3 linked regions of the Oryzias latipes genome follow. The protein of the gene in region 1 purifies or fractionates together with the protein of each later gene. This does not show direct contact. Links are inferred from orthologs where the notes say so. Each region holds a gene or a part of one and is shown on either strand. Other genes may lie near its edges. The genes, in order: dhx9, heterogeneous nuclear ribonucleoprotein D0-like and ncbp1.

Region 1 (8,178 bases):
GAGGATGCGGACGTCGGGGAAGGTCTGGACCACGTCTCTGAGCACCACCATGAGGAAGTCCGTCTGTAGGCACACACACAATGAGAGCGCCCTCGTGTGGATCGCACCCATGGCGACTTTGAACGGGAACTCACATTGATGTCTCTCTCGTGGATCTCGTCCACGATGACGTGGCTGATTCCTCGGATTCCAGCTTCCAGCTTCCGCAGCAGAACGCCTGAAAGAGCCAATCAAAGACCACATTCAAGAGAGGAAAGGCTGGAGGAATCCTAAAATAAGGAAACTGCTTAGAATTCATTCGACTGAGTTTAAAGGGCATTATTGGGTCGGGAAATTTGAGGTGTTCACGCACCCACAGTGCAAAACATGATGCTAGCATGGGGACGGGGCAGCACAGACTCAAAGCGCACGCTGTAGCCACAACTTTTCCCAAGATCCTCTGCTCTCTCATAGGCGACTCGCTCGGCCACAGAGACGGCGCTGATCCGACGGGGCTGCAGACACAACAGTAGATTGTGCATGTGAACTCTTAGCCAGAGCACGACAGTATGGTGCAAAACAGAAAATCACAGTCTTCATGGCAACAACAGTCTCATGTGCACTGCTGTAAGAACTGCAAAAGCTTTTCTGCAGGGCTTACACATGAAAAATGTTAATGACCAAAGGTGGGTCAGAACGACCAAAGTTCAGCTGAGAAGAAAAAAAAAGGGGGTTTGAGACCCAATAGGTTTACTTGGTTTTATTTAGATTCTCATTTCATCTTCAATACCCTTTCTGATAGGAGGTTTTCACTCAAAATCTGACAATACATGGCCCTATTCATTCATCAAAAATAGCCCCAAAGCATGATGTTTCCACCCCCATGCCCTACAGTAGCTATGGTGTTCTTTCTCCTCCAAACACAATGATTGGAGTTCTTACCAAAAAAATTCTATTTTGGTCTCATCTGACCACAGGACATTCTCCCAATTGTCTTCTGGATCAACCAAATGCTCTCTAGTAATAGAGACGGGTCTGCACATGTACTGGCTTTACCAGGGGGACACGTCTGGCACGGCAGGATTTGAGTTCCTGGTGGCACAGTGTGTTACTGATGGTAGTAGGGCTGCACGATATGAAGAAAACTCGCGATATGCGATATTAGTAATTAATATTGCGATAACGATATAATTTGCGGTATTTAAACAATTAGCAAAGCAATCAAAAATATTATTCCCATTCCATTACAACAGCTTAAAAATTATACTACAAATGACCCTTGTTGACATAGGAGGCGAACATACAACATAATAGGGCGCCATCCGATTAGTTAACAACGTGAAGGGGTCCATCTGATTGGTCAAATGCAGAAAGGGATTCTTTCAATCCATTAAACACTTCAAGCTGCCATAAGATTGTTTGGCCACATCTAAGGTAACCATTTATTACAAATTTGCAGTCTTTTGCGACATGCATATTGCACAGCTTGATATTGCGATAACGATAAATTTGCGGTATACTGTGCAGGCCTAGATGGTAGCCTTTGTTACTTCAGTCCCGGCTCTCTGCAGGTCCTTCACTAGATTCCCCCGTGTGATTCTGGGATTTTTGCTCACCGTTCTTATGATTAAGTAATGGTAGCAGAACATTTCATATTTTTGGCTTCAAAGTTAGCATCTGGAGATTAAAAGTCAGTATTTAAGCATTTGATCAAGTTCTGTTTTTGACATAAAAATAAATAATTTTTGGCTAAATGTGTAATTGTTTAGAAAGGTTTTTCTTTAGCAGTCTCAGTTCTTTCAGATAATTAGCATTCTGTGCAGCACATAAGCATGGCTAGGGACCACGGGCATCTCTCAGCTGTGTTCCGTTACCTGGGTGACCACAATGTTGCAGTCAGACGCCCTCCCTCCTTTGATGAAGTGGTCCAGGATGTACTGAGGAACCTGCGTGGTTTTGCCGCAGCCTGTGGCTCCTCTGATGATCACCACCGGGTTGCTCTCCAGGGCCCCCATGATCTCGTCCTCAAACTGTTTGACGGGCAGCTGATCGCGCTCTGCCAGGATCTAAACAACACGGCGTCAGTCAGAGTGCAGAGCACCGCCTGAGCGCCAATAAAGCGGGACTGACCTTCTGCAGAGAGTCGTCGTGCTCCAGCTGGTACATCAGCTCATTGCGCAAGTCCTCGCTGATCTGCTCAGGGGTGCACTAGAAAGAGGGAACGACATTTAGACACGATGGTGTCAGTGTCTGCTCAGACTCTGAGGTCTTCCAGAGCGGCAGGAAAAAGCCTTACAAAAGCCAGCGGGCCCTCATCAATGTTGCTGCTAGTCCAGGGGTTCCAGTTAACCTGCGGGGGGGACCAGGGCACGACGCCGGCACTGTTCTGACGCGTCGATGGCTCGAACGTGTTGATCTTCCCCTGAATCAGAGACACTGGGCAGCTGGGGTCTTCAGGCTAAAAGACACAAGCATCCATGTCAACTAGACCCACATTTACTGCCCCCACAGGCAGAAGGGGGAACAGCATCTACAGTTCACCGCAGAAAAAGCCCACACTAAAGACTGTCTAAAGACTGGAATGAGCCCAGGGATCATCAGATCATCCCCAGCTGCACAGAGCTTCAGAGAACTTCTAGAACTCACCGGTGGGGGGATCTCGACTCCGAGCTCCTTGGCCACAGTATTCAGCTGCAGCTGCAGGTCAGGAGACACGTTCACGTCGTACGGCTCCAGCTGGACATGACAGAAAGAGTCAAACCTTCATCCGTGCTTATTTCTGCTTTAAAGGATTTTATTTAAAACAAACTCCCACCGTCTCGCCTTCCCTCTTCTTGGTGACCCCGGTGTACGCCTCCAGCACCCCCAGGTGGTACAGCTGTCGCACCAACGACAGCGCGCACGACTGCGCTGCCAGCTTCTTGTTAGATCCGTGTTCGCGGGCCGTGATCTCTGTAAACAACACAGCACAAAAGGGGCGGAGTCATCTCTGACATCACCCGTAGGATTCTGCACAGCAGTAACGAATCAAAATCGATTGGTTTTTGTTGCATCCACCTCAACAGGGTTGAAGGCACAATGGGGCGGGAGAAAGTAAACTATTCCTATTTGAGGGGTGATTCGTTTGTTTCATATTTATTAAAAGAATTGGTTTCTGCCGGTATTAGTCTTTTGTCATTTAGTTTTAAGAAAAATTTCAAAATGCTAAAAAATACAAGCTTTCTGATACTTAAAACACAAGAGAAAAGGTTTTCTATTTGTTAAGGAAAGCACCAATTTCTATTTACTGGCTCTGCTAAAATAAGCGTAAAGAATCTCAGCACAGAACCGTCTCTGTGGTCTCATGTACAGACATGTCAAAACTTACTTCTGCCGAGCTTCCTCACGAACAGCTGCATCTCTGCTATGAAGCTCCTGCAGACAAATAACATGGCAGAGTTACATCCCGTGCCTTTCAAAGTAAAAGCCTAAAGCCAAGCATCCCTCAGGAGCAGACTCACCTGATGTGTCCTCAGAAAGAAACCTGGGCGTTTTTCTGCCAGACTTTCAGGTTTTAAAGCCTACAATGAAGAGCAACACCACAAATCACGACCAGAGACCACGGAGCTGCACCCATGGGGGGGCTTTAGAGAACCTAAACGCCATCCCCATGTATTTCCTCAGCGTGGTCGTGAGTTCTAGTGTCGCTCTGCAGGCTTTGAGTTGAGCATGTGGCTGTGAGGGCTCTCCGGTGTAGCCGGCACACGCAGGAGCTCTCTGGGTTTGCAGCAGTCCGGCAGAAAAACACACAGGTGCTACCAGTGAGCGGCGGGCCCAGGAGTGTGGCCCCTTTCAGAGGAAACATTTACCAACCCGAGAAGCTGCAGCTTTTTAATTAGAGTTCATTTGTCAATACCCCACTCTCCCACCCCCACCTGACAGATCTGAACAGCAGAAAAGACCAGATCCAGACTGACGAGAGACCTGGGCTCGTCAGGCTGGATCTGGTCAGACGGCTTGTAGGGGAGCGCTGATCCAGACCTGTTGTGATCGGGTCCCACTTGGCTGTACGTGTACTCGGAGGTGATCTTCTCCTGCTGGAAGAACCGGTTGAGACGGGCCTTGGCGTTCTCCAGGGTCCAGTTTCCGTGCAAGTTTGCATTCAGGTCTACCTCCTCGGATTCCAGCGTCTACAACAGGAGAGCCGCATTAGTGGGACCGGTACTAAGGCAGAGCAGTCCCACCTGTTATGAAGCCGCCTAATGTTGTCACAGTCATGTGACTGCAACATGTGACAACACAGCTCAAAAGGACCGGGATCTTCTTGAAAAGCAGCTTCATGGCACATAGCTGGCTCCAGTACCGCTTGAGCCTCCTGCTCATCCCTCCGGGCGTAGTACTCCTTCAGGTTGGCTCCTCTGTCCCACTCAGCCCCTCCTCCTCCTCCCCCATTGCCACCTCTAGGAGGGAACCCTTGTTCAGTCTGTCCTGGAGGTGCATTGATGAAGGCATCAGCCTCTGAAAACAGAAACCACAGGATGAAGAGGACTGAAGTCAGGGAGCAGCAGGTTAGGTGTGTTCGGCTCAAACCTTTCTCCACCTTCACCACCAGGTGGGGGGGCAGCGGCCCGCTGGCTGGGAGGGTTCCGAAGCTTCCCGGAGGTCCTTCGGGCTGGTTGGGTTCTGGAGCCACGGCCTGGGTAGAACAACAAAAGGCCGTCAGTTCCGGTTAAGTGTTCGCTGCCCACTGGTAAACTTTTGACTAATCCTTGCAGTCTCCCAGTCTTTATGGATCTTGACTTTCTAAATGGTTTTCTGTTCTGGCCTGAACATAGCTGGATGCTCTATTGATTGGAAAGATGTTCCTCTGGTTTGCTTTGTTTTTACATCTCCTTTAAAAAAGCGTAAAAAAAAGCTTTCTGACCCCCAGAGCTGGAACCTCTTCAGCCTTCATCTCCCCGACTCGGACCAGATAGTTGACAAAGTCCCTGGCGGCGTTGGTCTGAGCATCCTTCTTGCTGGTGGAGTTTCCCATCCCCACATAGGTGAAGCCATCCACCCGCACCTTCAGGAGCAAACAGAGACGTTACGGGAGAGTCTGGTTACAAACCAGCTGGCTGTGAATGCAGACCGACCTCACACATGAACTTCTGCCGGTTTTTGTTGCCCGCCGCCCGGATTTCGTAGTTGGGAGTCAGCTTTTTCTTTCCACACCAGGCGTACAGGAAATTCTTGATGTCCGCCATAGTGGCGAGCTTCCAGCTCCGCGTGGGCTTTACCTGCGAGCTTCAGGTGTGCCCTGGTCCCTTAGTGTTGCCTGTAAAACACAGAGGTGGCTCTGAACAACCGCAGAATCACTGGCAGGCGTCACATCAAAACATACAGTGTTGTTCAGGAAGCTACAGTAAACCGCTGCCTGCGTGCGTGTCGTAAAAGAAACCCTAAACAGAAAAACATATGTGCGCCGACACACACACAGGGAGAAACGATAACAACACTAACGTTACTAAGTCACGGGGGAAATGTTTGACCGTTTTTATACTTCAGCTAGCCACGTGCAGCTCCTATCATCAAGCAATAATGTGATCCTCCATGCAATATTTTTCCCCAATTGATCCCACATTGAATCATCAGTTGCAACTGAGACAACTACAACGAAAATGCTAGTATGCTAACGTTAGCTTCATTCATCAACCGGTGTAAACGTTGACAGACGCATTGAGGCTAAACTAACTAACGCCAGTAAGACACGAAGTACGTATGCAAAATAAATATTAAAAAAGCAAACATTTTCATTCTAACATCAACGACTACATTCAACACCTACCGTCCGCTCAGTCAAGTCTGCAGTGCAGATTCCTGCAAAGCGGCAACAGCGGAAGCTTTGAACTCTTCTACCGCGCAACAGCGCCACCCTCTGTTCTGGAGGTGAAATGAACTGTTAGCTCCTGGCAGTGAGTTGATCCTTTTTTATCAACGCCCCTCTGCATGATGATTTTTTTTATTCTACTGGGATGAGAACTAGATTTCTGTCTTTTGTCACTCTAGTTGGTTTCCTTTACTCAAATTACATTGTGGTTAACATCAACCCATTGTCCACAAGGATTATAAGTGGCCACTGTGTCATAAACATTCATAAAATCAGTGTAAGTTTTTGTTGTTGTTGCTGTAATCAAATTTAAATTATTAAAATTATTCCAACCCTGCGAGAGACTGGCGACCTGTCCAGGGTGCCCCCTGCCTTCGCCCACAAGTGGCCGAGATAGGTTCTGGCAGCCCCGTGACCCCGAAAGGGAGCAAACGGAAGAAGATGAATGAATGAATGAATGAATGAATGAATGAATGAATTAACGAATGAATGAATGAATAAATGAATGAATGAATGAACGAACGAATGAATGAATGAACAAATGAATGAACGAACGAATGAATGAATGAATGAATGAATGAATGAAAGAACGAATGAATGAATGAACAAATGAATGAACGAATGAATGAATGAACGAACGAATGAATGAATGAACAAATGAATGAACGAACGAATGAATGAATGAATAAATGAATAAATGAAAATTTTTCACAATTTCTCCTTCATGAATTCAATTCAGCATTTATGTAAGTTCCATAAACAATCAGAAGTTCAAATTTCGAGTAACAACTATGGAAATATTAATCTTGCTTCTGTGTGATTCATATTTGGAGCACGAAATATGGACTCCAAATGTAAATTATATTTTAAATCAAGTCAACAAAAACCTTTTATTTTGTTACGTGGGATGTTCCATTGTTTTTCTCACGAATAAATTTTGTTTTAACAAATCAGTTTATTTTTATAAAACAAAAATCTTCAAATGACCAAATCCTTGTCTAATTTCTAAACTTCTCATCTGATTTTAATTTAAGAAAAAACCAGATCTCTCTTATAAAATGACATAGCTGTAACATGACCTGCATTGTAAGGTTTATTAGCTTAAAACCATAGATTTTTATTTCATTTTTATTTTTTCAGTGTCAACCGAAGATTTAATCTACAGAATCTACAGAAAATCTGTCCTGTTTATAGTCCTGATAAAACCAATAGTATGAAATAGAATTGCACATTTTTGCTGCTCTTTGTTTACTGCTGTAGACAGGAACCTCACAGGAGAGAAAACCACGCTTTCTCTATCCATATCCAGTTTTTTGAGGTGGTCAGTCGCTGAGCAGAGTAGCCATAAACGCCTGTAGAGGCTCTGGCAGAAACCTGCTGTAGTCACAGAGACGGTGAAACCAGTGTGTCTTGTTCTAAAGCCCCATCTTACATATTCTGTCTTTTCTTTTCAGATTCAAACACTGATCCAACCAACAGACTAGAAAAACAATGATACTTTCATTTATTTGGCTCTGAAATAATACAGATCAGGTAAAAACTCTATAACAACATGACAAAGAAAAGAAGCAGGAAGGAGAAATTACTGCTTCGGTTAGAAACCATAAAAGAGATTCAGAAGTCCACACAGAATTTTCCTTCTTCAACAAAGGAATCTTAATTCAGTTTTGAACATTTGAATTGGTTTTTCTTATTTTTTTCTGTAATCAGATGCTTATTCCTGTTAGAGAAGCATCTTTTCAATCTTTTGAAATCTTCTTCCATGAATAAATCTCTTCCTCTGAAATATTGCCTTTTCTGAAATCTTCTTTCAAGCTTTGAATAAATAACAAATTCAGATTTATCAACAGTTCTCTCATCTGCTGCTGTAAAATCAGGTGCCAGAATCAGAGAACAGCAAACCAGATCATTTTGAAACTGACATTTCCATGAGACAGTGAAGGCAACACCTGGCGAAGAAGTTTGGCTAAGACAAAGAGAGATCATATTTTTGTGCAAAATATTGGAGACTTTTTCATTTCATCTTCAGTTCCTCCTCCAAGGAGGGGCGCCGTTCAGGCCTCCTCGATGGGGGCGGTGTTGTAGCAGCCACTGGGGACCGAATTCAGGATCTCCTCCAGGTTAGCAACGTCGGCGAGGAGCCGGTCCAAGTCCATGCTGATCCCAGACAGCTGGCGGCGCTGAGCGTCCTCCTGCTCCCGCATGTCCTGCAGCCGGGACCTGAGACGGCCGTGCACCTCCTCCCGAACTCTAGACAGCGAGTCCTCCAGCTGCTTCAGCTGATCATCACCCACAGCAGAACGATCTGAGGAGAAGACATTAAGTCACAGAGGTGCTACCAGAGATGGTAG
Region 2 (6,813 bases), on another chromosome or scaffold:
GCCTTTTTAATGTCCAATACACTGTGTATATATATATAGAGAGAGTAAGTTCTTGACTGTCAACCTCTGTAATAACATGTAATATATGACAGACGATAAAATGAAGGAAAGAAAATCCTGAAACTTCGCAAAAAACACATTTTCTGTTTGATTTGTTGGAACCAACGATACACTTCAGTACTGGACTAAATGAAGCCACTTTCTAGCAGCAGTTGAGGACTCAACAGGGAAAGGAGGAACAAATAAATGCTAAAAGCCATCTAAACAAATGCAGAACACTGAAATATGTATGTAAATATGGAGGAAACGTAGGTCTTTTTGTTTTAAATGCTCTATCTCTACGTAATGACTGCTGCTGGATCATGGCTCCGGTCAACGCTCCTCCAGCGCTCTGCAGACGTTCATCACTCAAACCTGTCAAACAAAAAAGAAAAGAAACCCATCAGTCATGCGGGAAAAACAAACTCACTGAGAGAAATACTAAGAAATCTAGGAATCCCCTGTGTTTTTAGTGTCCAATATAAAAAACAAACAATTATTTTAAACATTTTACATCTTAAAAAAAAAAAAAAGCTAGAAGAAGTCTAAATGGAAGAAAGCTTCAGATTGGTCAAAAATACACATTAAAGAAAGCATTACATGCAAATGTCTGCAAATGTGGCGACACTCTGACTCATTTTTATCAAAGGTTGTAAGAAGAAAAATGTGTTACGGGAAAATTAACAAAAAGAGGAGTCTGTTCCATCGCTGTCAGTAATACAAAAACAGACCAATACAATTACACAACGTAAAAGCACTTTATCCCCCAACACAGTAGAGTCCGAATACGAACCAGCTTTAGCTGGTGGATTACGGGCTAAATAAAGAAAAACATTTTACATATGATTAGGAATGAATATATTAACATTAGGGAACTGGAAAATCCAGAGAAAGCTGTTCATATCCTTTAAAAAGCAAATAGTTAATCTTTCAGATTTAAAGTCATTACTTGTGGGGGAGTAAGGGCCTGTAAAAAATGACAATTACATGTGTAGATTTTACTTCTTTTTTTTGTTACATTAAATAACACTTTCAAAGAAATTAAAAAATGGAAAGAAAGATGACAAAGCTGGACGTGTCCCCATATTGTTTAGTTTAGAAATGCGGATACAGGATGTTGTAAGACCATACCAAATGGCAGCATTCGAGAGCGTATGCTTCTCGTACCCGGTCCGCATTGAGCGGGCCCTGAGAGTATCTGGGAGTCAGCTCATGGCCTGCAAGGAAGCTCCGCTGGCAGGTACAAACAAGGTATGTCAGTGTTAGGAGACAACATACTTCCTTTTGTTTCCTTGCACATCCTTAACTTTGGCATCCATTTTACTGTAGTAGCAGTGCTTTACCTGTTAACTTTACACTTAAAAAAAGAAAAACACAAAGAAGAGGCAGCAGAAAGGCCCGCCGATAAAAAAAAAAATCAATCGCCACAAGAGCGTAGCCTCTATGTTACCACTACTGTAAAGCACTTGAGGGTGCTGAGAGAAAGAAATTTACGCAAGAAAATTATACAAAACAATTACAAACACCAAAGTTAATGTAGCTAATTTTAGTTGAGCAGCAATAAAGTTGTTGTTGTTTCTACATACCTACTTGACGGTGAGGGTTTGCCTCTTTAATACGGTTTGTAACTGTTGGTGTGACCGCCACGCCGTGGCGACTTCCCATATCCGCCCGACTGATCTGAAAGGGGAAACGCCAGAGCCAGCGTTAGGGCGTTTTTACAGAGGACCAAAGCGCAGGCAGGCCTCCTCACTCACCGTTGTAATCGCCATATCCGTAGTAGTTGTTGTATCCAGAATAATCGTAGCCTCCGTAGCCCTGATTACCGTAACCGTAGTTGCCGTAATTTCCGTAGCCCGGGTTCCAGTAGTTACTATAACCCTGGTTCCAGTTCTGGCTCGGGCCTGCGGGTCACATGACTTACACCATAAACAATGTCTTTCAACCCAGAAAAGAAAACGCTTCAACGTCTAGAAATGACAAAAACACTTTCAAATCTTTAAAGACTCTTTAGATTAGCAAAGTCTCCAACACCAAAGTTGTTGCTGGCCACAGCAAATAACACACTCTTCATCAACTACAGTAACTCTTTTACCATCAACGTCATGACTGTGACTCTTTTAAAGATGTAAAGAAATTGAGTTAAAGCCGTAACTCTGACCGTTTACGGAATTAACGTAATTATTTTACTAATGGAAATTAATGACATTACAATTTGACTTTGACACTATTAACACAAGCCTGTTTACGCAATTAACGTAGTTCTTTAAGATTAACGTTAAATTAACGTGATTATTTTATCAACGTAAAGAAATTATGTCAATACCGTAACCTTAAACTGTTTCCGAAATTAACGCAATTTTTTTACTAACGTCAATACCTTACCACTTTAACCGTTTACGAGATTAATGGCTTTACTAATGTAAAGGAATTATGTTATAACTGTAACTCTTACCGTATATAAACGCAAGTCTTTTACTAACATAAGGCAATGACGTAAACACCGTAACCGTTTCCGAAGCTAGCGTGATTATTTTACAAAAGTAAGGGAATAACGTTAATACACTTAACTCTTTAACCATTGAAGAAATTAAGGTGATTCTTTTACTAACGTAGGAATTACTTTAATACTGTAACCTTTTAACCATTTATGTAAATAATGTAATTTTCTGTTAGCGTTTACAAACTGTGTTACTACTGTAGGTCTTTGACCATTGATGGAGTTAATGTAAATCTTCTAATGTAAAGAAAATGCGTTGACACAGAAAGTCTTTGACATTTAACGTAACTCAGTTTTTAGCGTAAAGTGTTGCACATCACGGTAAAGCAGTTTGTCACATCTTCAGAATCCGTTGGAATTACGTTAACTACGTAAACAGTCGACAAGTGATGGTCATTTAAAGTGGAGCCAAAGCTCCGGCGTTAACAACTGGAATTAGCGTCTAATCTGGATTAAGACGACTGTAAACTCTCACTCACCGCCTCCTCTTCCTCTGGACCTGGACGAGTATCCTCCTCTGCCCCCCCAGTACTGCTGCTGCTGGTACTGCTCCTTCGACAGCGCCACCTTCACTTCGCACTGCGGCGGCCCATCATACAATTCACTTCTTTTAGGGTTCACATACTTTGTTCTGGTCTAAAACTTCTGAACCACTGTGTTACAACAGTGACTCACAATCTATACATGAACTTTATTTGAATGCAGTCAGAAGATACTATTTTGGGTTTAATTAAAAACATAAAGTTCTTACATATTTTATTCAGTCTTCAGTCTGACAGTTCCTAAATGCAACAGCTAAATATTCCCAGATTCAAGAGCTCTGTCCGTGTCATGGTCTCACTTAGTCCTACCTTGCTGAGGCCGATGTTGTGGTACTTCTTCTCCATGACCTTCTTCACAGCCTCCTCTTCTTTGAATGTGATGAAGCAGAAGCCTCTCCGTTTGTTGGTTTTGTTCTCCATGGGGAGCTCGATCGACTCCACCTGTTGACCAAAACAAGAAGCTCATTTCTGAGGCGGACTGGACGACTCGGGTCGGCGAACAGCAGGATGTCCACAGCAGGTCTGCAGGCAACTACAGGTGCGTTTAGTCACAAACACACCTGTAGGTCTTCCTCCATGATTCTTCCCACGTGTCTTTTTTCCTCAGAGTTTGCTGAAGCAGCAGATAAAAGGTTAAAGAAAGTGAAGAAATAGATTTTATTGTTCCCATGAGGCTCATGTTGGCAGCTGATTTGCTGAAGTCTGTTAACCAGTAACAGTTTAATGACTTTGTGGTTAGACATAAGCCCCTGACTGACCTCATGAAGGCCTTTTTACTGGGCACTGTGGATTAACTAGCCTAAATGGGACACATACGTGCATTGGATTCTAGAGGAATCGACATGAATTCTGTCCTGCAGTTCAGTTTCTCTGTTCCTGAGTTTGTCTTTTATTTTACTGGCAGCCTAAACATTTGCTGCACTGACACTTCACAGAGTCCTGCACCATAAGAGGTGAGACAGGAAACGCTTGTCCTCCTGTCAGAGCAAGTTTCAAAATAAAAGAGCAAAATGAAAAAATAAACCTGAAAACCCCTGAGAGCGTTTTTCACAAAAGCACAGAAGCCGAGAGTGCAACATTTAATGACGAGAATTAAAGAAAAATACAGAAGAATTACACAGTTTAGGGTCTGCAGTTACGCTTTAGGTCTCAAATTGGACGCAAAACTTCTGAAAGTTCATAAATAAAAAGAGTAAATCAAGTGTGTCAAAGGATAAAAACTGGTTTAAGCTGAGTAAAAAAAAAAACGACACGAACCTCTCCAAAGGCACCAAAGTACTCTCGGACCTTCTCCTCTGGGGTGTCTGGAGACAAACCACCAACGAAGACTTTCTTCACCGGCTCCTTGCTCTTCATGGCCTTGGCTTTTTTAGGGTCGATGACTTTTCCGTTGAGTTTATGTTCCTTCTGTGACGCCACCTTCAGAACAGAAAGCAGCAAATACATAAATAAAACTCACTAAATGACACAACAACAACAAGAAAAAAATCAAAGCTGATGTAATAATTAGAAACAGAATATAGAAGGAAAATGTTGAGGCGTGTCTCCACAGAAATCTGCTGCTCATAACAACATCAAACGTAAAGAAATATTTCAAAAGGCTGACGTGTTCACTCATGAGTTTGTCTGAAATCTTCTGAATTTATTTGATAAATAATATTATTGCTTTTTTTCGCATGAAGGAAATGACTAAGCCTCCAAAATAAAAGACGAACTTGGAGCTGAAACAGTTAAATGTTAAACTGCTTCACTGATTTATTGTCAATTCAGTGTGATTCGAACAAATATGTATTTATTTCAAAAAAGTTGTGAAACAAACTTTTTTTAAATGAGTTAAGTTAATCTGCACGTATCTGTTGATTTAAACTGAACAAAGGTGAACGTTTTATGAATAAATTCTTGAATGTTTGAAATTCTTGAAAAATAAAAAATAAAAAGCTGCTTTTTAAAAAAGTCAAAACAGAAGACAGTGCTTACAAGAAAATTTCCTTGATCTGAGAGACATTTGATTAGATCAGACTGTTTTTTTCAACACCACCCCAGTAAAAACAACATTTAGGTATTGAACAGAATCGAACCTTTTCCACACTTTCGGCGTCTTTGAAGAGCACAAAGCCGAAGCCCCTGGAGCGTCCGGTCATGGGGTCCAGCTTTAATGTGCAGTCTACCACCTCCCCGAACTTTGCAAAGTAATCTTTCAGGTCTTTCTTCGTGGTGTCCCAGCTCAGGCCTCCAACAAACATCTTCCTGCCAGCAAAAAAACATTTGGAAGGAGATCCGTGGTATAAGTTTGTGTTTGTTGTGACCCAAGTCCTAACTATAAGAATCTTTCCTCGGGTTGCTGCTGGCATTTTCATTCATAAAATATAAAACGAGTGAACAGTGTGATGAAAGAAGTGAAACAGAAAGAACTGAAGAAAGCCTCTTTGTTTTTATATGACCCCGAAGAACCCACAGGGTCAAATTTGGCAGCTTTTCCTTTTTTTTAATTTATGTTTTTATGTAAATTATGTTTTTCTATTGTGTTTTTTAGCCACAGTTAATTGCTGCTCCCCGAAACAAACAAAGAAACTTTCAAATGAACTTCAAAGACCCACTAATGAAAAAGGTGTTTGGGGTATTTTTAGCATGTTCTTGTAGCATTTTTCTGATGATGGACGACATTTATGGTAAAATTAAGCTTAGACTGTGTTTCTGAGTATTTCTTTATTCAAATCGTTGTGCATCAGGGGCAGACGAAGAGTTTGAAAAAGATCATATTTGTGATGTAGAAAAAACACGCTGGGCGGGGCCACAACCTCCCTGCTCCTCTCCATTCTAATGCATCCACTTACATACAGACTAATAGATCCATCTGCAAAGCTTTGTTTTCCTCGTCTGAGCTGGAATCTGGATCTGAATTTGTTGCCCCGCTAATGGTAGCTTGGGGTTGTGAGAAGCCATAAGCTAGCAGGAGGGCTTGTGAATAGAGACCTCTCAGTTAGGGTGATGGGGGGGGGGGGGGGTCTGTGCCAATGGTCCCGCCCACAATTTAGAGGTGAATTTCTAATAAACTCCCGCCGCTCTGCAGAAACTAAGTCTTACAAAAAGACAGGTTTTTTTTATTTAGCTAAAACGGTATAATCCTAATCAAAATAAACGCCAATACATTTTTGGAACTCACCAAACGTTGCCGCAAATATAAAACAATTTGAAAATAACTACAACAAATGTGCGTCCATGGATCAACAGTGCCGTGGATAACCGTGCAGGAGCTTTCCCGGTCATCCGAGCTGTATGTCCCAGAAGTCTCTCTGGGAGTATGTTTGTATGAAAGGCTCCCCGCGCGGATAAACTTACCCTTCATCTTCTTCGTTTTTGCTGGCGTCGATCCTTGATCCCTCGGCCTCGTCCCCCATCAGGCCGCCATCCCCCTGAGCTGACATGGGGTCGTCATTGTTAGCCTCTCCATCCTCCTCCATCCTCATCATACTCGGGTCTTCGCTAAATTCATAATCCTCAGACATCTTCACTTTTTTCTCGAAAAGATCAAATGCTAGTTCTAATGAAATGATTTTCGGAAAAAAAAAAATCAAAAGTAATTTTGAGCCAAAAAAAATTCGATTTATTTTAAGCTAACAGCCAAGATAGTTGCTAGCTGCTAACAGATAACAAATAACAAAAGCCGATGTTCAAAAACAGGACGAGGCTAGCTCAACTTATTCGAAGTTATCTCAAAATTTAAATAGATAA
Region 3 (8,178 bases), on another chromosome or scaffold:
GTAGAGGGAGTGAAGGAGAACAGTAATAAAAGGTTCCCCCCAAAAACCTTTGTAGTCTGAACACAGGACTAGCAGAAAAAGTAAATTCTCAGCAAAGATGAATGTGTTTATTATACTTCCAATCATGCACCATATGCAGAACTTAAAAAAAAAAACGTGCGGTGATGCGATTATCGTCACCCCCCCAGTCTAGGAGCAGTCTAACCTCAAACAACTTTGAGCAATTGGGAAGTTTTTGGGAAAAGGTTGGTTTTAAAGATTGTAGTTGTTGAACAATGTTAGCGTGGCGAGCTCGCAAAAGTGGCGTTGCCCTATGTCTCGCACATTTTTTGCCGTAGCATTGTGAACATTTAACACACGAACCGTTGGCTCAAGCTGAATGAAATGATTTAGCATGTGATATAAGAATAGTAAATATGTTACCATGGTTACCAAAACACCTATGTTGCCAAGTAAATCCAAAGGTTTACTTTTGCAGATTCTTTTAAAAATTACAGACCTGTACGTGACCCACAGGAGACCCAGAAATAAAATGGTTGCTATGGAGATAAAACCAACATAAAACCGCCATTTTGAGAAGAAGTGGGTTTTTTTTTTTCCATTTATGTCCTGTGCGGTCCTGACCAGGCTGGCAGAGGCAGAATGGGAAGAACTAGTGAGGTTTCTAAGTGACGTGGTGTGGCCAGTGAAGGGGGGTGGAAGGGCGGCGGCGGGCGTAGCAGCTTCAGGCCATACTACTACACTTGAATTTGTCCTTTGAGTGAATTCTTGTTGAAGTGAACATGCATGAAAGTGTTAGAGAACAGCATCTGTACCTCATCGACTTCTCCAGAACCTCTTTGACAAACTTGGGCTTGGGTTTGTCCAGGTCCACAGTCAAGCAGTCGGCCCTTCACACGGAGGAAAAAGTGTCACAAAAGCGGAAAAAAAAAAAGGTTTCAGCCACAGAACGACAGGAGTTACGCACCAGTCGTCCCAACTCCACCGGAACTGAAAGTTACTCAAGTGATGAGCAAACCAGTTGATAAATCTGTTAAGAGAAGAGAAAAAAATGTTTCACCGAAAAGACTTCAACACCCAGAATGCATCCTGTCTGTGCAGAAACAAACCTGTCCATGCAGCTGGTGTTCATGGTGTCCAGCCTCATGTAAAGCATTTCTGTGGCTTGCGCCAACTTCAGGTCAGTCAAGGAACATCAGCTAGTTTGGTTCAAGAAAACTTCAGAAACAAAACGGCTAAAATGATCCAATAAAATCCAAATTTATCCCCCCCCCCCCCCCCTTTTTTTTGCTTTTTAAAAATATATGTTATAAATGTATTCACATCTGATGATTCTGTTTTAACAAAATGACTTTTTAAAAATAAACCCAAGATTTGTTTAATGGAACCAGCCGGCTCTGCTCTTCTGTTTTCTGAATGGTTTACTTTGTTTTTAATTCCCCAAAGGAGTTTTAAATCTCCACCATATCTTGGGTTTACATCTTGAGTCCTTTTTGAGTTTTAGATCTTTTTTTTTTATAGCAAACTTTCCAGGATGTGTAGCCTGATGACCTGAGCTGCTGCAGAATCTGGTTCATGCTATCGAACCACGATCAAAACCAGTTTTTAAATGCAGCAAACAGAAAAAGAAGAGTCTGAACAACGCTTTAAGCGCTGGACGAACATTTGGGGACATTTGCTTCGTGTCTCATCGACCCGATTGTCTGACCTTCCAACTGGTTTTGACAGCGGAAGCATCAGGATACGACTTGCGGTAGCGACCCCGGCTGTAATTTGCAGAGCTCGATGAGCAGAGAGGTGTACATGACGTCGATGTGCGGCGGGGAGGGCAGCTGGAAGAGCTCGCCAAAGATCACCTGAAATGCAGAGAAACCGCATGACGCAGCAGTTACGCTTCGCGCTACAGGAGGCTAAAAGAAGGGAAGTTACCTCTACGATGTGATAGTTGAGCGGGATTTTATTCTTTCCTGGATAGCTGAGTAACTGAGCAGCACTGGGGGACAAAAAAATACAGAGAAATATGAAAAAGAGACTCTCAGTGTGAGCCGGCGTCGTTTCTTCACAGGTGACGGCGCCTGATCACCATGTTTTCCTTTCCCTCCAGTGAGTTTTGATGATGCAGTGGAGGTTTTCTTCAATAACAAATCTCTCCACAGAATGGCTGCCGGGCATGACGGGTCCCTGCAGGAGGCGAACACAAACACCGGGTCAGAACCGCAGCGGCTGTTTTTTTGTGAGCGGTCGGTCCGGGCGACTGACCTCCGGGGCGTCGGTGTAATCGAACATCCGGAAGATGACGCGGGGCATGGGGTACTGGGCGTCAGGCATGTGTCCCGGCGGAGTGAAGGGGGGCAGGTTGTGCTGCAGGGCCTCGCACAGGACGCTGTCGAAGGCGATGTACGGTCGGAGGATGTGGCGCTCCTGCCAGCGGTCTTTCTTCAGTTTCTGGATCTGAGCCCAAAGGCAGTCCAGGTACTGAAAGATGGAAGCAAAAGGGACGAATTCAAACTCATTTGGCTGATTTTCACCCTCCTTTTAGTGACTTGAAATGTTAAATACTTCTTTTATGAATTATGACATTTAGTTTGATCCTTTTTTTCCTTGCATGTGTTATCAGCAGACCCAACAATTTCACTGGGGGGGGGGGGCAGTGTGGCCCATTCTCCTCTTCTAGTTTTCCTATGCCGACGTTCCAGCGTTTCTCCTCACAGGAGTCGTTTCTCTTTAAAATTCTTCAAAGCAATCTGGATTTTTTTCCCCCTTCGATCCTTCTAATGCATCTTTTTAGACTTGCGTTTCAAAACCTGCTTGTCCAAAAGGCTCACCTCTTCCTGTGGATGTGGTTTCTCAGCGGTCCACACCTGCAGCATGGGGACGTGAGTCTTCACCCTCCTCCTGTCCAGGAACACAGCAGAGCGCTGGAGTCAGTCCAACAACAGCTTCAATGGAAAGCAAAAGATGCTCCAGAAAAGAGGCCGCGTCTCACTTGAGGTAGCCTTCGATCTGGCTCAGGAGTCGGTCCATCTCCACGTCCTTCTTCTCATAAAGTTCCTTGCCGACCCACGGCAGGCAGGACAGAACCACGTACACGAACCAGTCCAACCGAACCTGGAGCCAAAAGGGTCTCACGCTTACTGATCTTCATCTTCAAGTCAAATTGAGAAGCTGAAAAATCGTTTTTGTATAAATCTAAAACTATTTTTACACAGAAAACAATCATTTTTATTTTTGATTGGACTGCAGTTCTCCCAAAACCAAGTCATGGAATTTTGAGTCGTCATTGAGAACATCAGATGATACAAAAATAAAGGAGTTTGCTGAATTTGAAATGGGGAAACTCAGACGTTGCAGTAAAACAAAAGGAGGCGCCTTAAATGTGACATTAAGTAAAAAAAGAACGGGATGTTCATAAACTGAAACTTCTGATGCAAACAAATATTCCAGGTGAGGCCGTGCAGAAACAAACCTGTGGCACATCTTCTTCCTGAGTAACACTGATGAAGTTTTCAAACATGGCTACCATGGAAGGGGCAGCGATCACGTGACAGTTGACCAAGTCTGACAGAAAGCGCACCTGAAGAGAGCAGAGAACTTAAACGATGCCGAGAGCAAAAGGCGCTGCAGCAGCTGCGAGTTTAGACATTGAACATCAACAGACCAAGTAAACGGCTTCGTTGTAGAAGTTGTTTTTCAGCGTCTCCTTCAGCTGCCGGATCATGGCCTCCACAAACTCTCCCCCAAAGTTGTAGTTCCTGGCGTTCAGGAGGCCGACTAACGTCGTGTAGACTGTCAGCTTCTCCGGCAGGAGGCGGGCTCTGTCGAAAGACGCGTTTGTGAAAACGGACCGTTTGTTACGCTTGAGAATGAGGAGAACTGCGGACAACTTACACTGCACATAAAATACGCAGGATTTTGTTTTTGTAGTTTGGAAGGTCCGCCTCCAAAACCCCTGCGAGCCCCTCCAGGTTGCTCTCGAGGGACGATGTACTCTTTTAAAAGATCAAAGACGGACTTTAGTTATTGCAAATTATTTAAATAGTAAATATATGGCTTTATGACAAAACGGCCATCGTACTTTTTCTCCAACGCGACATATCAGCGACTCCAGGCGGTCTTCAATCTCAATAGGCTCTGATGTTCTCCTCCTTTTGTGGGCTTGACCTCCTAAAAATGAAAAGGACAGAACTTAAACCTCTGACCTGAGAGGACACTGAAGACAGAAAAACAAATCTACGTTTTGGGGGGAAAATAGTGTATTCGTCTCATAAAATCTAGTGTTTCGACAGTCACACATACTCCATCTGACTTTACTGGAGGTTTCCTCCTATATACTTTAGGTAAACAGAAGAAAAATGGAGAATATTGTGTCTAGGGCTAAAGACAAACAGTTGGACGTCAGCCTGCCGGAGAGCCTCAGAGACCGTAGAGATTTTTCAGAAGAAGCACAAAACCCATCTTTTTAACATCGCTTTGAGATAATTTCATCTGGTTAAAATAAAGATCTGATGTCTAAGCAGGACTTGGCCAAACTTGTTTATGTGTTAAGTCGATCTTTAGTCGACTTGACTACTGTTCCAGTGTTTTTGCTGGACGATACGGCAGCGTATTCAGAACTCTGCTGCTCGGGTCCTTCAAAGGAGCCAAATATTAGACCACATCAGTCCAGTTCTGACCTGTCCGGTAATCTGGATCTGCTCTTTCGTCAGTACCTAGAGTCGAAATCAAACACGAAGAAGCTGCATTCAGCTTCTATGCTCTGTAGATCTGGAACAGACTACCAGAATTAAGCCTTGGATCAGCTGAAACACTCAGTTTATTTAAATGCAGGTTGGTATTTACTTCAGTTCTTTAAATTTTTATTTTGGTGATAACTCCTTTAATATTTCTGTTAAATTTTTCTTTTAGTGTTTTATGTAAAGGACCTTGAATTGCCTTTGTACATAAAATGTGCTTAAGAAATAAACTTGCCTTGCTGATTCTCTCCTTACTGAAATCTCTGAATGAAAGGTAAACACTCAATGGAAGCCAATAGAAGTCATTTATACATACAATGACAAATACATACTAAACTAATCCTACATTATATAAAAATATTGTTAGGTCTGATATTTTTTTAGTGTGGAACCGTGAGACACTTTGGTTGTGAATGTTCCTTTATAAATCACAAAATCCACAGGGCTGTAACATCACGTTTCCATGCGCATGATGATGAACCCACAGAAAAAGTGTCTCTTTCAACACTTACGCCAGTCTTTACAAACATTAAATGTGTTTTGTGTGCCAGAAACCGTTATAAAACATAAATCTGGCCGTTAGCGTTAGCTAAAGTAGCTAACTAACGGAACCGGGTTTTTCTGGTAAAACTTAATCTCTTAAAAATCATTTTTTAAAATCCCCTAATTTATTTAGTAGCTTTAAAAAAATACTTGATATTGGGGCAACGCCTGCTATCGTTGCATTCCTTTAAAGTTATAGCACATACAGATAATCAAGGTAGCTGTAGCTAGCTGCCGCGTTAGCCGTAACGTTTGAATCGCACATGCAGCGCGCGACTTGCCGTCACTGTCGTCGCTGTGTCTCCTCCTGGACATGTTGTCCCCCCTGAGCTGCACGCGTGCAGACACCCGGTGTAAAAAAAATAACGCGGGACAGACCGGTGGATCCGGGAAAAGCTTTGCTTATTTTGAACGGCAGAGTCCGGAGGCGGCAGCAGCAGCAACAGCAGCTTCTTACAGAGAAATAACAGCGGAGCGATTGAAATGATGGACATCCGGGTCATTCAAGGTACAACCGGAAGCTGAACTTCCACTTCCGGTGAGCTGCACACTCGCATGGAAATACAAGGGTATTTACCGCGTTTGAGAACTTATATCTCTCTTTTTGTCAGTATTTACGCGTTCTATCACAAAGTTGCGTTTTTTACGATCACAAACATATTTGTCGTGCATTTAATTTGCCAGTTGAGGAGAATGGCAGCCAGTGAAGCAGTCTGCTCAGAGTTTCTGAACTGGGAGGTCAACACGTCGATGGTTGATCATGGATCAATTAAGCAAAACAAACACATTTCTGCTGCTCACAGAAAATATTACAGGTTCTGCAGGAGAAAGGTAGGAGAATATCTGGCTTCTCTTTCCACAAAGACAACGCAGAATGATTGAAAACAGAATAAAAAATGACTAAACTAATCTAAACTAAATATTGATTCTGACCCAATTCTGGGCAGTTTGCATCTTTTATATATTAGTAATATTATTACTACTAGGTAGTAATATTATTACTACCTAAGGTATTCAAGACATGAAAGTTAGAGAATATCTTTGGTATTTGTTTTTGTTTTTCTGTGTATCAAATCTAATCAATCTTTATTTATGTAAAATTTATATAATTCTAGAACATGATAACACAAAGTGCTTTACACCAAAACAAACAACATAAAAAAGGCACAACAATTTAGAAATAGATCCTGTAGTTAAAAACATATTTGACCATTTTACAGTTGAAAACTCACCTTTCACCAGGCGTTCATTAAATGATTACTTTATATTTAGTGAGGCACATTTACCTTCTGTCCTGGGACAACAAATAGAGGGGGGGGGGCTTTTGGCCAACTGGTAAATTTGCAGAGAGGCTTTTTTTTAGTGTTTGATGTCACAAACAAACAAATACATAAAAAAAAATTTGTTGCTTCTTTTAAATTGTCACTTTAGACATATAAAATTCTTCCCTGTTTTTGTCATAAACAGATTATTACCGTTTACCGGACCAAATAGATGTAAATCAATGCTTAAATCATTTATAGATATGTAATATATTTCAGGCTTGATCAGAGTATTGACAGGCCAAAATTTGGCTCATTACGTAAATATTGACGTGAACCTCAATGATGATGATGATGATGATGATGATTCAAGACATCACATTTAGAAACTCCTTTAGTCGGTCCAACTTTTTTGGAAACCATATATTTCTGGAAGTATTTGAAACAGAATACATTTGCTTGATTGAGGTAAATGCTTTGATTCTTTTTCCTTTTCAGTCTTTTGCCTCGTTTGTGGCTTCAAAGATCTGCAGTGCAGAGGCCGGCGCCTCCTGGTGCTGCTGCGGCCAGACCTTCAAAGAACACTCTGCCGTTCACAAACATGTGGCCAGAGCACACGCCGCCGAAGTGCAGCAGCTGGCGCAGACGGCGTTCCAGGCTTCGCTGAGCCAGCTGGCAGAGGAAGAGCAAACACAGCGGCTGAACGGACGCGAGGCAGAAGAAGCGGACGTTTCTGTGTGGATCCCTGACGTTAGCCACGTCCCAGCGGAGCTGCTGAAAAAGTAGATCAGGGTGTCACGTCTGCCGCAGACGCGATGGGAAACACTCCTGACGTGTTCTCGTTCTCCTGCAGCGGTCCCGGCAAGGTTCTCCTTTACTACCGCTACTGCGAGGTGGAGGATCCGCACGTCATCTGCGCCTGGCAGAAAGCTCTGTGTGAGAGGCTGCAGTTAACGGGGAAGGTGACCACAAACTCCTCCGTAGGATCCACGAGGAGAAGCTCTGTTCTGAAGTGGAAGCTCTCTGCAGGTGAGGGTGGCGGCAGAAGGAATCAACGGGACGGTTGGTGGAACCGCCGTGGCCACGGATCTCTACACCAGGGCCATGATGTCACACCCCCTCTTCCAGATGGACCGAGAAGATTTTAAGGTAAAGTTTCTGAGATGCTTTTCATCTGTGGCTACATCAGGATTAAGACACTGGACTACAAATAGACTTTTTAAACGGTTGTATGATTGTTGATGGAACCAAACAGCAAAAAGAACACATTTAAAAAAAAAAAAAGAACTGTTTTCCATTTAAAGAAACCGATCTGTAGTAAGAAAACAATGAAGTGTAAAAAAAAAGAATTAAATTATCTTAAAATTATGCATAGCTACAAACCACATTGAAATTAGTTTCTCTTAAGCAAAAATATCTATATGTATATTTATAAAACTTGGGATAAACTGTCATGAATTGATCGGAAAATGAAAATATTAAAAAGTAAAGATGAAGAAATCCACACAGATATATATAGATTTATATACACTTCCATATATAAATACATACACGTGTAAATGATGCCATTTTTATTACTCTCAGACATATTTTAAATCCGTTAAATATTACGTTTGTCAAAAGGACTTTTATGTGTTGGA

What was found.
Region 2: the proteins of dhx9 (region 1) and heterogeneous nuclear ribonucleoprotein D0-like purify together in Homo sapiens (affinity purification with mass spectrometry; 3 studies listed by BioGRID and IntAct, with this or other methods). This does not show direct contact. The link is inferred for Oryzias latipes from reciprocal best matches to the Homo sapiens genes DHX9 and HNRNPD.
Region 3: the proteins of dhx9 (region 1) and ncbp1 purify together in Homo sapiens (co-immunoprecipitation; 3 studies listed by BioGRID and IntAct, with this or other methods). This does not show direct contact. The link is inferred for Oryzias latipes from reciprocal best matches to the Homo sapiens genes DHX9 and NCBP1.

What each region holds. Positions count from the first base shown.
Region 1 is NC_019875.2:12,668,749-12,676,926, forward strand, and holds the start of dhx9 (ATP-dependent RNA helicase A), read right to left. Parts: upstream 5,884-8,178; 5' UTR 5,786-5,883; intron 5,276-5,785; 5' UTR 5,205-5,275; coding exon 5,094-5,204; intron 5,024-5,093; coding exon 4,883-5,023; intron 4,655-4,882; coding exon 4,549-4,654; intron 4,477-4,548; coding exon 4,322-4,476; intron 4,149-4,321; coding exon 4,000-4,148; intron 3,540-3,999; exon of another isoform or gene 3,480-3,539; intron 3,394-3,479; coding exon 3,347-3,393; intron 2,932-3,346; coding exon 2,795-2,931; intron 2,716-2,794; coding exon 2,626-2,715; intron 2,438-2,625; coding exon 2,276-2,437; intron 2,188-2,275; coding exon 2,110-2,187; intron 2,046-2,109; coding exon 1,854-2,045; intron 495-1,853; coding exon 353-494; intron 218-352; coding exon 135-217; intron 64-134; coding exon 1-63. Other genes in the region: laminin subunit gamma-2, read right to left, coding at 7,882-8,132. UniProt on the Homo sapiens protein: Multifunctional ATP-dependent nucleic acid helicase that unwinds DNA and RNA in a 3' to 5' direction and that plays important roles in many processes, such as DNA replication, transcriptional activation, post-transcriptional RNA regulation, mRNA translation and RNA-mediated gene silencing.
Region 2 is NC_019870.2:2,821,184-2,827,996, forward strand, and holds part of heterogeneous nuclear ribonucleoprotein D0-like, read right to left. Parts: 5' UTR 6,588-6,813; coding exon 6,421-6,587; intron 5,329-6,420; coding exon 5,160-5,328; intron 4,501-5,159; coding exon 4,339-4,500; intron 3,523-4,338; coding exon 3,391-3,522; intron 3,119-3,390; coding exon 3,019-3,118; intron 1,944-3,018; coding exon 1,797-1,943; intron 1,720-1,796; coding exon 1,652-1,719; 3' UTR 1-1,651. UniProt on the Homo sapiens protein: Binds with high affinity to RNA molecules that contain AU-rich elements (AREs) found within the 3'-UTR of many proto-oncogenes and cytokine mRNAs.
Region 3 is NC_019868.2:27,749,657-27,757,834, reverse strand, and holds the start of ncbp1 (nuclear cap-binding protein subunit 1), read right to left. Parts: upstream 5,592-8,178; coding exon 5,558-5,591; intron 4,165-5,557; coding exon 4,076-4,164; intron 3,990-4,075; coding exon 3,889-3,989; intron 3,816-3,888; coding exon 3,659-3,815; intron 3,575-3,658; coding exon 3,467-3,574; intron 3,109-3,466; coding exon 2,987-3,108; intron 2,896-2,986; coding exon 2,826-2,895; intron 2,476-2,825; coding exon 2,260-2,475; intron 2,182-2,259; coding exon 2,084-2,181; intron 1,994-2,083; coding exon 1,930-1,993; intron 1,857-1,929; coding exon 1,746-1,856; intron 1,175-1,745; coding exon 1,110-1,174; intron 1,031-1,109; coding exon 968-1,030; intron 891-967; coding exon 816-890; intron 1-815. Other genes in the region: tstd2 (thiosulfate sulfurtransferase/rhodanese-like domain-containing protein 2), read left to right, coding at 5,832-6,107, 7,037-7,320, 7,392-7,500, 7,568-7,687. UniProt on the Homo sapiens protein: Component of the cap-binding complex (CBC), which binds cotranscriptionally to the 5'-cap of pre-mRNAs and is involved in various processes such as pre-mRNA splicing, translation regulation, nonsense-mediated mRNA decay, RNA-mediated gene silencing (RNAi) by microRNAs (miRNAs) and mRNA export.